Linked DNA regions of Stegostoma tigrinum. The protein of the gene in region 1 purifies or fractionates together with the protein of each later gene. This does not show direct contact. Links are inferred from orthologs where the notes say so. Each region holds a gene or a part of one and is shown on either strand. Other genes may lie near its edges.

Region 1 (7,298 bases):
GCCACCTCTCAGCCCATCTCTGCATCCTGTCAATGTCCCACTGCAGCCTACAACAGCCCTCTATTTTGTCAACGACATCTCCAACCTTCGTGTCGTCTGCAAACTTGCTGACCCATCCTTCAATCACCTCATGTCTTACTACATACTTTTTTTTTTAAAAAGTGCATTCTGGAATAGGAACCTTCACCCACACCTAACTATCCAGCAGAAAGTGACCTGTTGTTTTGAAGTCAGTGATAATGGGAACTGCAGATGCTGGAGAATCCAAGATAATGAAATGTGAGGCTGGATGAACACAGCAGGCCCTGTACACCCAGAGTTCTATTAGGAAGGGAGTTCTAGGATTCTGACCCAGTATCACCATGATGAAATTGGGTCAGGGTGCTGTGTGGCTTGGAGTGGAGCTTGCAAGTTACGGAGTTCCCATGTATCTATGTCCTGTTCTTCCAGCGTGGATTTGAAAGGTGCTGTTGAAGGAGCTTGGGTGAGTTGCCACAGCACATCTTGTAAATGATTTACTCTATCACTTATCGAGAGGGAGTGAATGTTGAAGGCAGTGGGTGGCAATGACAATCAAATGAGCTGCTTTGTCCAGCATTGTTGGAGTTGCACTCATTCAGACAAGTGGGCAGTGTTCTATCACACTCTTGATTTTCTTATAGATGGGGGACAGGTTTTGGGGATTCAGGATTTGAGTTCTCACCATAAAATTCCCACTCTCTGACCTTCTTGCAAGCAGTATTTTATGGCTAGTCTACTTACATTGTTGGTCAATGGTATCACCCATTGTTGATAACTGAAAAGGTATGCAGCCATAGGAAAGAGGAGCTGGGAGATCAAAATATTAGACAGGAAAGAGGCAGATGTGGAATAAACACAAGCAGAGATCAGTTTGGCTCAATCACTTGGTCTGCCACAGTTTCAGCCTAAATGTTTAAACTGATGAGGGCAGAGCAGTGGACGTGATTGAAATGCACTTCAGTAAGGCATTCAACAAGGTTCCTCACGGTAGGCTGGTTAGCAAGGTTAGATCACATAGCATAGACGGAGAACTAGCTGAGAAGGTAGAGCACAGAGGATAGCGGTGGAGGGTTGCCACTGGAGACCTGTGACCAGCAGTGTGCCATAACAATAGCAGAACACCTACTATTGGTTCGCAGTAAACAACTGCACCTCCCAGTCATGAACCATTTCAACTCCCCCTCCCATTCCTTAGATGACATGTCCATTCTGGGCCTCCTGCAGTGCCATAATGATGCCACCCATAGGTTGCAGGAACAGCAACTCATTCCACTTGGGGACCCTGCAGCCCAATGGTATCAATGTGGATTTCACCAGCTTCAAAATCTCCCCTCCACATACCGCATCCCAAAACCAGCCCAGCTCGACCCGTCTACCTAACCTGTTCTTCCTCTCACCTATCCCCTCCTCCCACCTCAAGCCGCACCTCCATTTCCTGCCTACTAAACTCATCCCACCTCTTGACCTGTCCGTCCTCCCCACCCATACTCTCCTCTGCACCTATCTTCTCCTCTATCTATCTTCAGTGCGCCTCCCCCCTCCCTATTTATTTCAGAATCCTCTCCCCATTCCGCTTTTCTGATGAAGGGTCTAGGCCCGAAACATCAGCTTTTGTGCTCCTAAGATACTGCTTGGCCTGCTGTGTTCATCCAGTCCCACACTTTGTTATCTTGGATGCAAACATAGTCGGTATGATTACTAAGTTTGCAGACGACACCAAAATTGGAGATGTAGTGGACAGTGAAGGTAACCATAGAGTACAATGGGATCTTGATCAGATGGACGAATGGGCTGAGGAGTGGCAGATGGAATTTAATTGTAGATAATTATTTTACTTTTAAAAATAGTCAAGGAAAAAGTTAGGCCTTGTATAAAAGCTAAAGTCCTTAATTGGAAATAGGCAGATTTTGACAGTACGAGACAGGAATTTTCACAAGTTGATTTGAGTAGACTGTTCACAGGTAAAGGGATGACCGGTAAGTGGGAAGTTTTCAAAAAGTAAAACGATGAGAGGTCAGAGAAATTATGTTCCTGCTAGAGTGAAGTGTAAGGCTGGTAAGAGCAGCAAACAATAAAGATATTGAGACTGTGGTCAAGAAGGGATCAAATATTAGGTGTAGACAACTGGGATCAAGTGAATCTCTTGAAGAGTACAAGTGGTGCAGGGGCATTAAGAGGAGAAACCTCTTAAAGATCCATGAGGTCAACTACATGTGGAACCACAGGAAATTGGAGCGATATTAAATGAATATTTTGCACCAGTTTTTTCTACTGTGGAGAAAGATTTGGGAGCTAGGGAATTCGGACAAATAAACATTGCTGTCTTAAAAAACAGTCCATATCATAGAAGAGGTGGTGCTGAAGGTGTTGAAAAATAGAACAATCTCCAGGACATGTACTGGGAAAGGCAACGACTGATTAGGGATAATATACATGGCTTTCTGCATGGGAAATAATGTCTCACTAACTTGATTGAGTTTTTTGAAGAAGTAACTAAGAGGATTGATGAGGGCAGAGTGTGGGCATGATCTATATGGACTTCAGTAAAAGCGTTTGACAACGTTCCTCATGGCAGATTGGGTAAAAAGGTTAGATCACATGGAACATAGGGAGAACTAGTCATTTGGATAAAGAACTGGCTCAAAGGTAGAAGACAGAGTGTGGTGGTGGAGGATTGTTTTTCACTGGAAGCCTGTGACCAGCAATGTGCCACAAGGATCTGTGCTGGGTCCACTGCTTTTCATCATTTATTTAAATGATTTGGATGTGAACATAAGTGGTATGATTATTAAGTCTGCACATGACACCAAAATTGCAGATGTAGTAGACAGTGAAGAACGTTACCACAGAGTACAACGGGGCCCTGATCAGATGGGCGAACGGCCTGAGTGCAGACGGAGTTTATGATAAATGCACTTTGAAAGGCAAATCAGGATAGGACTTATGGTAAAGTCCAGGGGAGGGGAGGGGGGTTTCTTAAACAGGGAGGCTTGGGAGTGCAGATTCATTGTTCTTTGAAAGTGGAGTCACAGTTAGACAGGATAGTGAAGACAATAGTTAGTACACTTGCTTTTATAAGTCAATCCATTGAGTATCGGATTTAAGAGATCATGTTGCAGCTGTACAGGACATTGATTAGACTACTACTGGAAAACAGCGTGCAATTCTGGTCACCCTGCTAAAGGGCTGATGTTGTGAAACTTGTAAGGGTTCAGAAAAAATTTACAAGGATGGTGCCAGGGTTGGAGGGTTTGAGCTATGCGGGGAGGATGAATAGACTGGGGCTATTTTCCCTGGAGTGTCAGAGACTGAGGGGTGACCTTACAGAGAGGTTTATAAAGTCATGAGGGGCATGGATTGTATAAATAGACAAGGTCCTTTCCCTGGAGTGGAGGAGTCAAAAACGAGAAGGCATAGATTTAGCATAAGAAGAGAAAGACTTAAAAAGGGTCCCTAGGGGCAATTTTTTTCATGCGGAGAGTGGTGCCTGTATGGAATGAGCTGCTTGAGGAAGTGGTGGAGCCTGCTACAATTGCAACACTTAAAAGGCATCTGGATGGGTATATGAATAGGAAGGGTTTAGAGGGATATGCACCAAATGCTGGCATGTGCGACTAGATTTATTTAGGATATCTGGTCAGCATGGATGAGCTGGACCAAAAGATCTGTTTCTGTGCTGTATATCTCTACGAGTCTATGATATGCTAACGAAGCAAGGATGATGTGAGAGAGAATTTTTTTTCCACACAGTGAATCGTTAGGGTATGGAATGCACTGTTTAGAAACGTGGTTCAGTTGAGGCATTTGAGGACAGCACTGTATGATTATTTGGATAGAAATGGTGTGCAGTGTTTCCGGAAAAGGGCAAGAGGCGAGCACTAGGTAACAGAACTAGAAAAGGCACAATGGACCAAATGGCCGCCTTCTGCAGCGTGACTATTTTGCGATATAACTCAGCCGAATTGGAAAATGGGTTAGTCTCAGTATTGGTGCATTTCCGCAGCTTCTAAGCACAAATACAAAGACCAAAGGATCTTCTTTTTAAAACCGATAAACAATCCCCTCCAGCCAGAAGCACCTCCGTGGCCAAAACAAAAAAAAAATCCTGGCCAGGGCAACACCATTACTGGCAATACAGAGCGACACAATCGAGATTAGCTTAAACATGCAGACATAAATCACATGGTAAACCAGAGCGGGTGAAAACAACGTCTCCCTCACCTCCGCAGCTCCTGGATCTTGGTCTCATACTTGGTATAGAAAGGATTTTTCTGCAGCTCCTGCTCCTTTTCGGCCTGGTTTAAAACGCCAGAGATGGAGAAAGTGCGGAGATGGTCGGAGACCACGCCAAGTCCCAGGGGGAGATGATAGCGGCTCCTGACAGCCAGGCTTCGGTTAGTCAAGGACCACAGCTCTCTGACCGCCGCCATCTTAGCCGCCTCCGTGCTCATCACATGGGCCCCGAAAGAAACTGCGAACCAGTCACAACATTCCGACTTCCAAAATGACGCACCAGTAAATGCTTCTTTATTACCAATTCTTAGCTATTACAAAAGTAGTACTGGAAATTAATCGTTAATTTCCACCGCTACTGATTGACATTGCGAATGTGTACTGCACTGTCCATAAAAATTCCAACCATCTCAACCATAATCGAGTTGACGGACCTAGTTCAGGTGACGGACGCATGAGCCGCTTAAAGCACGACGTGACCTTCCCAAGATAGCACCATAGAGACGGTGTTTGAGGAGAATGGAGCTGGGCATAGCCCGGGAGGAGGAGACCCTCAGCCATCATGTGTCCACTTTATTTAATATCTGTGCAAAGAATGTCAGCGAGAACATGGTCAGGCTGCAGCAGGGCGTCTCGGGTAAGACTTGGAACTGTAATTAACGCACCGCTTTACTGAATCTCCGAGGCTCAGATTTTACAGGACCGCAAGATAGGTGAACCATCCTCTGACTGAAGAACTTCCTCCTCATCATAGTTTTAAAGGATCATCCCATCACTCTGGCGTTGTTTCCTTGGGTCCCAGAATTTCCTACTAATGCACACATCATATCCACGTCCACTCTATTCAGGCCTGTTAGTATTCTGTAAGTTTCAATCAGATCTCCACTCGTTCATCTAAACTCTTGAGTACAGACTTGAATCCTCAACTGCACCTGATATGACAAACTTTCATCCCAGGGGTTGTTCCTGTAAATCTCCTCTAGATATTGCCCAATGCCAATATATCCTTCTCTAGATATAGGGTTCAAAACTGTTCCCAGTATTCCTCAGCAATACAACTCTGATGTTGTATTCTAACTCATTTGAAATGAATGCTAGCATTGCATTTGCCTTCCTGACTGCCAACTGAACCTGCATGTTAACCTGAAGTGAATCTTGAACTAGGACTCCTAAGTCCTTTGTACTTCAGATTTCTGAACCCTTTCCCTATTTAGAAAGTGGCCTATGCCTTTATTCTTCCTACCAAAGTGCATGACCTCACATTTTCCTATATTGTACTCCATCTGCCATTTCTTTGCTCACTCTCCTAGCACATCCAAGTCCTTCTACAGCTGAGATAACAAAGGGTGGAGCTGGATGAACACAACAGGCCAAGCAGCAAGATGCTTGGCCTGCTGTGTTCATCCAGCTCCACATTTTTTGTTATCTTGGATTATCCAGCATCTGCAGTTCCCATTATCTCCTTCTACAGCTGCCCCGCTTCCTCATACACTACCTGCCTGTCCACTAATCTTTGTTTCATCTGCTCAAAATGTTTAACATCAGGCCAATCAGAGCAGAGTTGTGAATGATCTTTGTTAAACTGAAAGAGAAAGATAAAAACAAACTTGCTTTGTGATACCTTTTTTCTAAAGAAAAGGTAAGCAAAGAAGCTACTTTAAACAAAATCAAGTGGAAGTGTATAAGTCTGATTTTGCTTTGCTGGTGCTTTTGCTCATCTCAAAAGTCTATCTTTGATAAAGCTCAAGAGGCATTTAATTTTGATTAAAAGATTGCATCTTCTTTTAAACTGCCATTTTTTAAAATCTCCAAGCTGTGTTTTGTTCAATATCTAGGTTTGCCAACTGCAATTCTTCGAGAGCTATTGAAGTTCCTTAACATATATGACCTGGAAAGGATCGAAGAGGTTGCAATAAAGAAAGGTAGAACAACGAAAGGAATTTTATGCTTAAGTTTTGAACTTCTGTTAAATAGCTTCCCAGATTTTGTGAAATTGAAGTGTTTGCTGGATTGTGAAATGTTTGTAACTTAAAATTTGCCATCTATTATTAAATTTAACATTTTCCACTCTTGTATCTACGTGTTTAAGTGTTAATGCCCATAACTCCATCAAAGGAAAGGATCTCGGAGGATTTCTCCCAAAGGTAGATACCCTGAATTGGTGGACTGCTTGTAACCAGAACCAGGAGTCAAAATACTATATCTGATATTGTGGCTGTCATAAAGTTGTAGAATCAGCCAGCATGGAAATGGACCCTTCGGCCCAACCTGTCCATGCCAAACAAAATCCTAAACTAAACTAGTCCCGTCTGCCTGCCCCTGGCCCGTGTCCCTCCAAACCTTTTCTATTAATGTACTTATCCAAATGAATTTTACAAGTTGTAATTGTTCCCACATCTACCATTTTGTGAGGAAGTTCATTGCACGTGAACCACCCTCTGCATAAAAGATTTGCGCCTCATGTCTTTTTTAAGTCTCTCTCCTCTCCCTTTAAATATGTATCCCCAAGTCTTGAAATCCCCCATCCTAGGGAAGAGATAACTCCCATTAACTCAATCTGTACCTCCCATTGTTTTATAAACTTCTATAATATTGCCTCTCAATTTCCTATGCTCCAGTGAAGGTTAATGTAGATATGAGTACCTAATTTAAGTTTTGAACATTTGCATTTTTTTTTGATGAACTCTTGACTGGATAATTCCACAATTAGCAAAGAGGTTTTAAAAATTAGTTGCTCAGTTCATAAGCCATTCACCAGTATCTATTACAGCTTTGCATCAGACTTAAGAACAAGGGAAGGTTGAATGACGAGCTGATGCACTCAAATTCTACTGTATAACATTCAAGTTTGTGTGATAATTGGCTTTGCATTATTTCTATGTTCATTTGGAGAAACATTTAATTGCTTTTCATTTAGGTGCTTTGTTATGTTGCTTTCAGATGAATACTAAAGAACCTGTAGCACAGTTTGAAGAGGAGCTGGAGAATTATCCAGCTTCTGGCCTATACTTTTCGCTGAGTCAACATTACGAAAATAATCAATT
Region 2 (7,565 bases), on another chromosome or scaffold:
GCAGTGTGGAGCGAACAAGGGAGTCACGGAGAGAGTGGTCTCTCCGGAAAGCAGACAGGGGTGGGGATGGAAAAATGTCTTGGGTGGTGGGGTCGGATTGTAAATGGCGGAAGTGTCGGAGGATAATGCGTTGTATCCGGAGGTTGGTAGGGTGGTGTGTGAGAACGAGGGGGATCCTCTTGGGGCGGTTGTGGCGGGGGCGGGGTGTGAGGGATGTGTCGCGGGAAATGCGGGAGACGCGGTCAAGGGCGTTCTCAATCACCGTGGGGGGGAAGTTGCGGTCCTTAAAGAACTTGGACATCTGGGATGTGCGGGAGCGGAATGTCTTATCGTGGGAGCAGATGCGGCGGAGGCGGAGGAATTGGGAATAGGGGATGGAATTTTTGCAGGAGGGTGGGTGGGAGGAGGTGTATTCTAGGTAGCTGTGGGAGTCGGTGGGCTTGTAATGGACATCAGTTACAAGCTGGTTGCCTGAGATGGAGACTGAGAGGTCCAGGAAGGTGAGGGATGTGCTGGAGATGGCCCAGGTGAACTGAAGGTTGGGGTGGAAGGTGTTGGTGAAGTGGATGAACTGTTCGAGCTCCTCTGGGGAGCAAGAGGCGGCGCCGATACAGTCATCAATGTACCGGAGGAAGAGGTGGGGTTTGGGGCCTGTGTAGGTGCGGAAGATGGACTGTTCCACGTAACCTACAAAGAGGCAGGCATAGCTGGGGCCCATGCGGGTGCCCATGGCCACCCCCTTAGTCTGTAGGAAGTGGGAGGAGTCAAAAGAGAAGTTGTTGAGTGTGAGGACGAGTTCCGCTAGGCGGATGAGAGTGTCGGTGGAGGGGGCCTGGTCGGGCCTGCGGGACAGGAAGAAGCGGAGGGCCTTGAGGCCATCTCCATGCGGAATGCAGGTGTACAGGGACTGGATGCGGAATGCAGGTGTACAGGGACTGGAGGACGTCCAGTCCCTGTACACCTGCATTCCGCATGGAGATGGCCTCAAGGCCCTCCGCTTCTTCCTGTCCCGCAGGCCCGACCAGGCCCCCTCCACCGACACTCTCATCCGCCTAGCGGAACTCGTCCTCACACTCAACAACTTCTCTTTTGACTCCTCCCACTTCCTACAGACTAAGGGGGTGGCCATGGGCACCCGCATGGGCCCCAGCTATGCCTGCCTCTTTGTAGGTTACGTGGAACAGTCCATCTTCCGCACCTACACAGGCCCCAAACCCCACCTCTTCCTCCGGTACATTGATGACTGTATCGGCGCCGCCTCTTGCTCCCCAGAGGAGCTCGAACAGTTCATCCACTTCACCAACACCTTCCACCCCAACCTTCAGTTCACCTGGGCCATCTCCAGCACATCCCTCACCTTCCTGGACCTCTCAGTCTCCATCTCAGGCAACCAGCTTGTAACTGATGTCCATTACAAGCCCACCGACTCCCACAGCTACCTAGAATACACCTCCTCCCACCCACCCTCCTGCAAAAATTCCATCCCCTATTCCCAATTCCTCCGCCTCCGCCGCATCTGCTCCCACGATAAGACATTCCACTCCCGCACATCCCAGATGTCCAAGTTCTTTAAGGACCGCAACTTCCCCCCCACGGTGATCGAGAACGCCCTTGACCGCGTCTCCCGCATTTCCCGCGACACATCCCTCACACCCCGCCCCCGCCACAACCGCCCCAAGAGGATCCCCCTCGTTCTCACACACCACCCTACCAACCTCCGGATACAACGCATTATCCTCCGACACTTCCGCCATTTACAATCCGACCCCACCACCCAAGACATTTTTCCATCCCCACCCCTGTCTGCTTTCCGGAGAGACCACTCTCTCCGTGACTCCCTTGTTCGCTCCACACTGCCCTCCAACCCCACCACACCCGGCACCTTCCCCTGCAACCGCAGGAAATGCTACACTTGTCCCCACACCTCCTCCCTCACCCCCATCCCAGGCCCCAAGATGACATTCCACATTAAGCAGAGGTTCACCTGCACATCTGCCAATGTGGTATACTGCATCCACTGTACCCGGTGCGGCTTTCTCTACATTGGGGAAACCAAGCGGAGGCTTGGGGACCGCTTTGCAGAACACCTCCGCTCAGTTCGCAACAAACAACTGCACCTCCCAGTCGCAAACCATTTCCACTCCCCCTCCCATTCTCTTGATGACATGTCCATCATGGGCCTCCTGCACTGCCACAATGATGCCACCCGAAGGTTGCAGGAACAGCAACTCATATTCCGCCTGGGAACCCTGCAGCCATATGGTATCAATGTGGACTTCACCAGTTTCAAAATCTCCCCTTCCCCCACTGCATCCCTCAACCAGCCCAGTTCATCCCCTCCCCCCACTGCACCACACAACCAGCCCAGCTCTTCCCCCCCACCCACTGCATCCCAAAACCAGTCCAACCTGTCTCTGCCTCCCTAACCGGTTCTTCCTCTCACCCATCCCTTCCTCCCACCCCAAGCCGCACCCCCAGCTACCTACTAACCTCATCCCACCTCCTTGACCTGTCCGTCTTCCCTGGACTGACCTATCCCCTCCCTACCTCCCCACCTACACCCTCTCCACCTATCTTCTTTACTCTCCATCTTCGGTCCGCCTCCCCCTCTCTCCCTATTTATTCCAGTTCCCTCCCCCCATCCCCCTCTCTGATGAAGGGTCTAGGCCCGAAACGTCAGCTTTTGTGCTCCTGAGATGCTGCTTGGCCTGCTGTGTTCATCCAGCCTCACATTTTATTATCTTAAACAACTGTGCCTGGGTCCCTCTGTTTTACAACACTGCCCAAGGCCCCACTTTTGTCTTTCTTCGTTTTTCCAAAATGTAGTGGGGGGGGGGGTGGTGGGTGACGACGAGGGGATGTGACGGGGGAAGTGCCGAGTGTGGGTGGGGGGCGAGTGGCCTCTACCTCCCTGCCACCCACTGTCCATCTGCATCCCTTCTTTTCCCCCGCCCCCAATTGGTATCACCTCTTTCACCATTCCCCACCCCGGTGTCGTGTGTCCCATACGCGAACATTCTGATTCTCGACCTGCTAATTACCTCGGCCTCAATCTCCGAGATTTTCTGAAGGATACTCATGTCGAACAACCACAGCCGGATGAACCCTGTCCAAGTCAGACAGCCTCGCGAGACCGACCACTCCGCGGGATTGGGCGGGGAAAGCGCCACTGCGCCTGCGCATTGCCTCACCGCCCGCCCAGTGCAGCGCGCGGCTGTTCGTTATTAACGGTTGAAACGGCCGTTGAGGCAATGCCGAGTCGTACACCTCAGTTTAGAGTGTTTGCATAGGAGCACGGAACAACAAGGAGATGTCAACAAACATCACTTTAGCAGTTAACTAAGAATTACTCTATAGATTTAAAGAAGTCAATCTTTTGTTCCGACCTTAAATTAGGGGTATCTCAGCTCTCTCAGAGTAGGTCCGTCCATTTAACGAAGTGGTGTGTTAAACCTAGTTTTCAGAGGTTTCAATTTACTTGATTTTTAGAGAGCATGATAAACCTTAAGGGCCATTGGCAGTGTCCATAGGTCTGGCTCTTGTTCCATGGATATGTATCATCTCATGTCCCAACAGGTCCGTTGAAAATAATTTTAGAAAGGACTTCCCTCCGTCACATTTCATCTAATTTTCGATGCAGCTGGGATCTCGGTGATTTTAGGGACTTCGTGGTAGAGGTGGAGGAGATTTTTTTTCTCAGTATGTTGTTAGACATTCAGTAATTGGTTCTTTGGTACACAGAAAGAAGCTGTTTGATGAGTAACTGGTAAGTTACTCGGCACATTCGAACGAATACGTAGTTTAAAAGTTACGGAGTGGTACGTCAACTCAGCTATACGTATCCCATTTTTCCCATCTGCAAGAAACGTTACCAACTGCAAATTTGAGCTCCATGGACAAGAATGCAAGTAATGGCTAGAGTCACTTTTGTGCATTCAAAGGGCAGAGAATTACGTAGATAGTATATTCAGGGAGGTAATCACATTGCAGGTTAGGTTCATAGAAGCTGAAATGAAATTGTTGAAGATAGGCAAGTGGTGTGGAGGTCCCCCGAGTCCACCCTGGCACCACTGGAGATAAAGAAAGGGGAAAAGAGTCAAAAATCAATAGCGATAGATTATTTCATGGTCAGGGGATCAGACAGGCATTTACATGGCAGTAAAGAAATTTAAGGTGGTGTGTTGCCTCCTGGTGCCAGGGTCAATAATGTCACAAAATGTAAGATATCCTTCTGGGGTGGATGACCAGCCAGAGGTCATGGTCCACATATGTACCAGTGACCAAGATAGGAGGAGCGACGCAGTCCAGAAAGTAGATTCTGGAGAGTTTGTAAGGAAATTAAAAATCAAGACCTCGAGTAGTAATCTCAGAATACTCCCAATGCTAGCTGGTAGTGATCATAGGAATAGGAGGATTGATCAATTGAACACATAACTGAAGAATTGGTGGAGGAGGAGTTGATCAGATTTTTGAAACAATAAGACAAGTTTTGGGATGGATGGAATGTTGGGCAGGTTATACTTTTACAAGACCTGGACTGATATCTTCACAGAGAGATTTGCAGCTCAAATTGGAAGCAGTGTAGCTGGCAATAGGAAGTAGATATGTGATAAGTAAAATCAGGAGACAGGCGAAAGATTGTGAGCATCAACTAAACTTAGAATGCAAAATAATGTCAAAAACAAAGTCGAGCACTCAACTTGAAATGCACAACGCATTTGTAACAAAGTAGGTGATTGCAACGCACAAATGGAGGAAAATGGGTATGATCTAATTACCATTAGGGAAACCAAGCTGCATGATAACCAAAACTAGGGAATTGAATATTCAAGGATATTTGATATTTAGGAAAGACAGGCAAAAAGGAAAAGGATGTAGTGTTACATTGATAATAAGGGATGGGATCAGTACATTAGTAAGGGAGGATGTCAAATCAGTAGAACAAAATGTGGAATCTAAGGCAGGGTCACCAGACCCGAAATGTTAACTCTGATTTCTCTTCTCAGATGCTGCCAGGCTGCTGAGCTTTTCCAGCAACTTCTGTTTTTATTTCTGATTTGTAGCATATGCAGCTCTCAGTTTTTTTTAAAATGTAGAATCTGTTTGGATGAAATTAAGAAACATCAAGGGGGCACCATACATTGAAAGGACTGGTTCCTAGGCCATGAAACAATAGTGTGGACCTCATTATTAATCCAGAAATTAAAGAAACATTCCCCAGCGTGATGAATACGGTAAGCATTGGAGACTTCAATCTACATATAGACTGGGTAGACCTAATGTGCAATAATGCTGTGAAGAATGAGTTCCTGAAGAGCATTATGGTTTTCTAGTGCGATATGTTGAGAAATTGACGAGAGAATGAACCATTTTAGATCTAGTATTATGAATAATGGCTAATTAATATTCTTGTAAATTAATCTTTAGAAATGTGTAATATAATGTTTGAAAATAAGGTAGTTCAATCTGAAGGTGGGTGGAAGTCTGAACAAAGGATATAATTAAATTCTGAGCAGCAAATTGGCTGAAATGGATTGACAAATTACATTCAAGGATATGACAGTACATTAGAAATAGATAACCTTTAAAGAGCTATCTCTTAATTTACACTATTGACATATACCTTCAAAGCACACAAACTGAAAAATGTCTGTCAACCATGGCTATCAAAGTAAATTGTGGATTACTGAAAAACTTTTTTCAAAGCTATTGCAGCTTCAAACCTTACTGGTCAGTAGACACGCTGGGATTCCTGAAATTCCACATACATAAGATTACCATATCGGCAACATCATAACTAGAAGAATACTCACAGAATTATACCTTACAGACAATGTCCCAGACACCACCATCACCATCCCTGAATATGTCCTGTCTCACTGGTAGGACAGACACAGCAGAGGTGGCGACACAGTGGGAGAGAATTGCTTTGGGAGTCCTCAACATTGACTGCAGACCCTATGAAGTCTCATGGCTTCAGGTTAAACACGGGCAAGAAAACCTGCTGATTACTGCATAACGTTCTCCCTCAGCTGATGAAACAGTGCTCCTCCAACAACACTTGGAGGAAGCACTGAGAATGGCAAGGGCACAAAATGTACTTTGGGTGGGGAATTTCAATGTCCACCACTGAGTGTGGCTCAGCAGCAGTAATAATGATTGAGCTGGTGAGGTCCTAAACAACATAGCCGCTAGACTGAGTATGCAGCAGGTGAAGACGGAACCACACGAGGGAAAACCATACTTGCCCTCATTTTTACCAAAATGCCAGTTGCAATTCCATCTGTCAAAGACAGTATCAGTAAGAGTGACCACTGCACAGTCCTTGTGGAGACAAAATCCCACCTTCACATTGAAAATAACTTCCATTGTGTTGAGTGGCACTATCACCATACTAAATGGGACAGACTTTGCACAGATCTAGCACCTTAAGACTGGGTATCCATGAGGTATTGTGGACAATCAACAGCAGCAGAATTGTACTCAAGCACAATCTGTGACCTCAAAACCTGGCATATCCCCCCTGAAATATTACCATCAAGCCAGAGGATCAACCCTGGTTTAGTACAAGACTGCAGGAGGCAATGCTAGGAGCAGGACCAGGCATACCTGGTGAAGCCACCAAACAGGACTACTTGGAATCCAAACAGCATAAGCAGAGTGTGATAGATAGAGCTATGCAATCCCACAACCAATGGATCAGATCTAAGCTCTGCAGTCGTGCTACATCCAGTCGTGAATGTTGGTAGACAGTTAAACAACTCACTGGAGGAGGAGGCACCACAAATATCCCCATACTCAATGATGGAAGAGCCCAGCACATCAGTGCGAAAGATAAGGCTGAAGCTTTCACAGCAGTCTTCAGCTGGAAATGCCAAGTGGATGATCCATCTTGGCCTCCTCCAGTAGTCCCCAGCATTACTGGTCTTCTGCCAATTCTATTCACTTCATGTGGTAAAAAGAGATGGTTGGAGACACTGGGTATGGCAAAGACATGTCTTGAACACATTCCAGCAACAGTACTGAAGACGTGTGGTCCAGAACTTGCCGCTCCCCTAGCCAAGCTGCGCCAGTACAGTTATAATACTGATATTTATCTGACAATGGAAAATTGCTTAAGTATGTCCTGTACATAAAAAGCAGGATAAATTCAACCTGGCCAATTACCACCCCATCAGCCTACTCTCAATTATCAATAAAGTGATGGAAGTTGTCATCAACAGGACTAGCAAGCAGCACCTGCTCAGCAAGAACTTGCCCAGTGATGCCCAGTTTGGGTTCCACCAGTGCCACTCAGTTCTTGATCTCATTACAGCCTTGGTTCAAACATGGACAAAAGAGCTGAATCCCAGAAGTGAGATGAGAGTGACAGTATTGACATCAGGGCTGCATTCAACTGGGTGTGGCATCAAGGAGCCCTAGCATAACTGGAGTCAATGGGTATCGGGGGCAAACGCTCCGGTGGTTGGAGTCATATCTGACACGTCGGAAGATGGTCATGGTTGTTGGACGTCAATCATCTCAGCTTCAGGACATCTCTGCAGGAGTTCCTCAGGGCAGTGTCC

The links.
Region 2: the proteins of lrrc41 (region 1) and drg1 purify together in Homo sapiens (affinity purification with mass spectrometry; 3 studies listed by BioGRID and IntAct, counting the BioPlex papers as one, with this or other methods). This does not show direct contact. The link is inferred for Stegostoma tigrinum from reciprocal best matches to the Homo sapiens genes LRRC41 and DRG1.

The regions. Positions count from the first base shown.
Region 1 is NC_081361.1:76,012,437-76,019,734, forward strand, and holds the start of lrrc41 (leucine-rich repeat-containing protein 41), read left to right. Parts: upstream 1-4,232; 5' UTR 4,233-4,242; coding exon of another isoform or gene 4,243-4,472; 5' UTR 4,473-4,773; coding exon 4,774-4,891; intron 4,892-6,089; coding exon 6,090-6,176; intron 6,177-7,298. Other genes in the region: atpaf1 (ATP synthase mitochondrial F1 complex assembly factor 1), read right to left, coding at 4,243-4,472. UniProt on the Homo sapiens protein: Probable substrate recognition component of an ECS (Elongin BC-CUL2/5-SOCS-box protein) E3 ubiquitin ligase complex which mediates the ubiquitination and subsequent proteasomal degradation of target proteins.
Region 2 is NC_081379.1:46,784,208-46,791,772, forward strand, and holds the start of drg1 (developmentally-regulated GTP-binding protein 1), read right to left. Parts: upstream 3,153-7,565; 5' UTR 3,081-3,152; coding exon 3,042-3,080; intron 1-3,041. UniProt on the Homo sapiens protein: Catalyzes the conversion of GTP to GDP through hydrolysis of the gamma-phosphate bond in GTP. Appears to have an intrinsic GTPase activity that is stimulated by ZC3H15/DFRP1 binding likely by increasing the affinity for the potassium ions.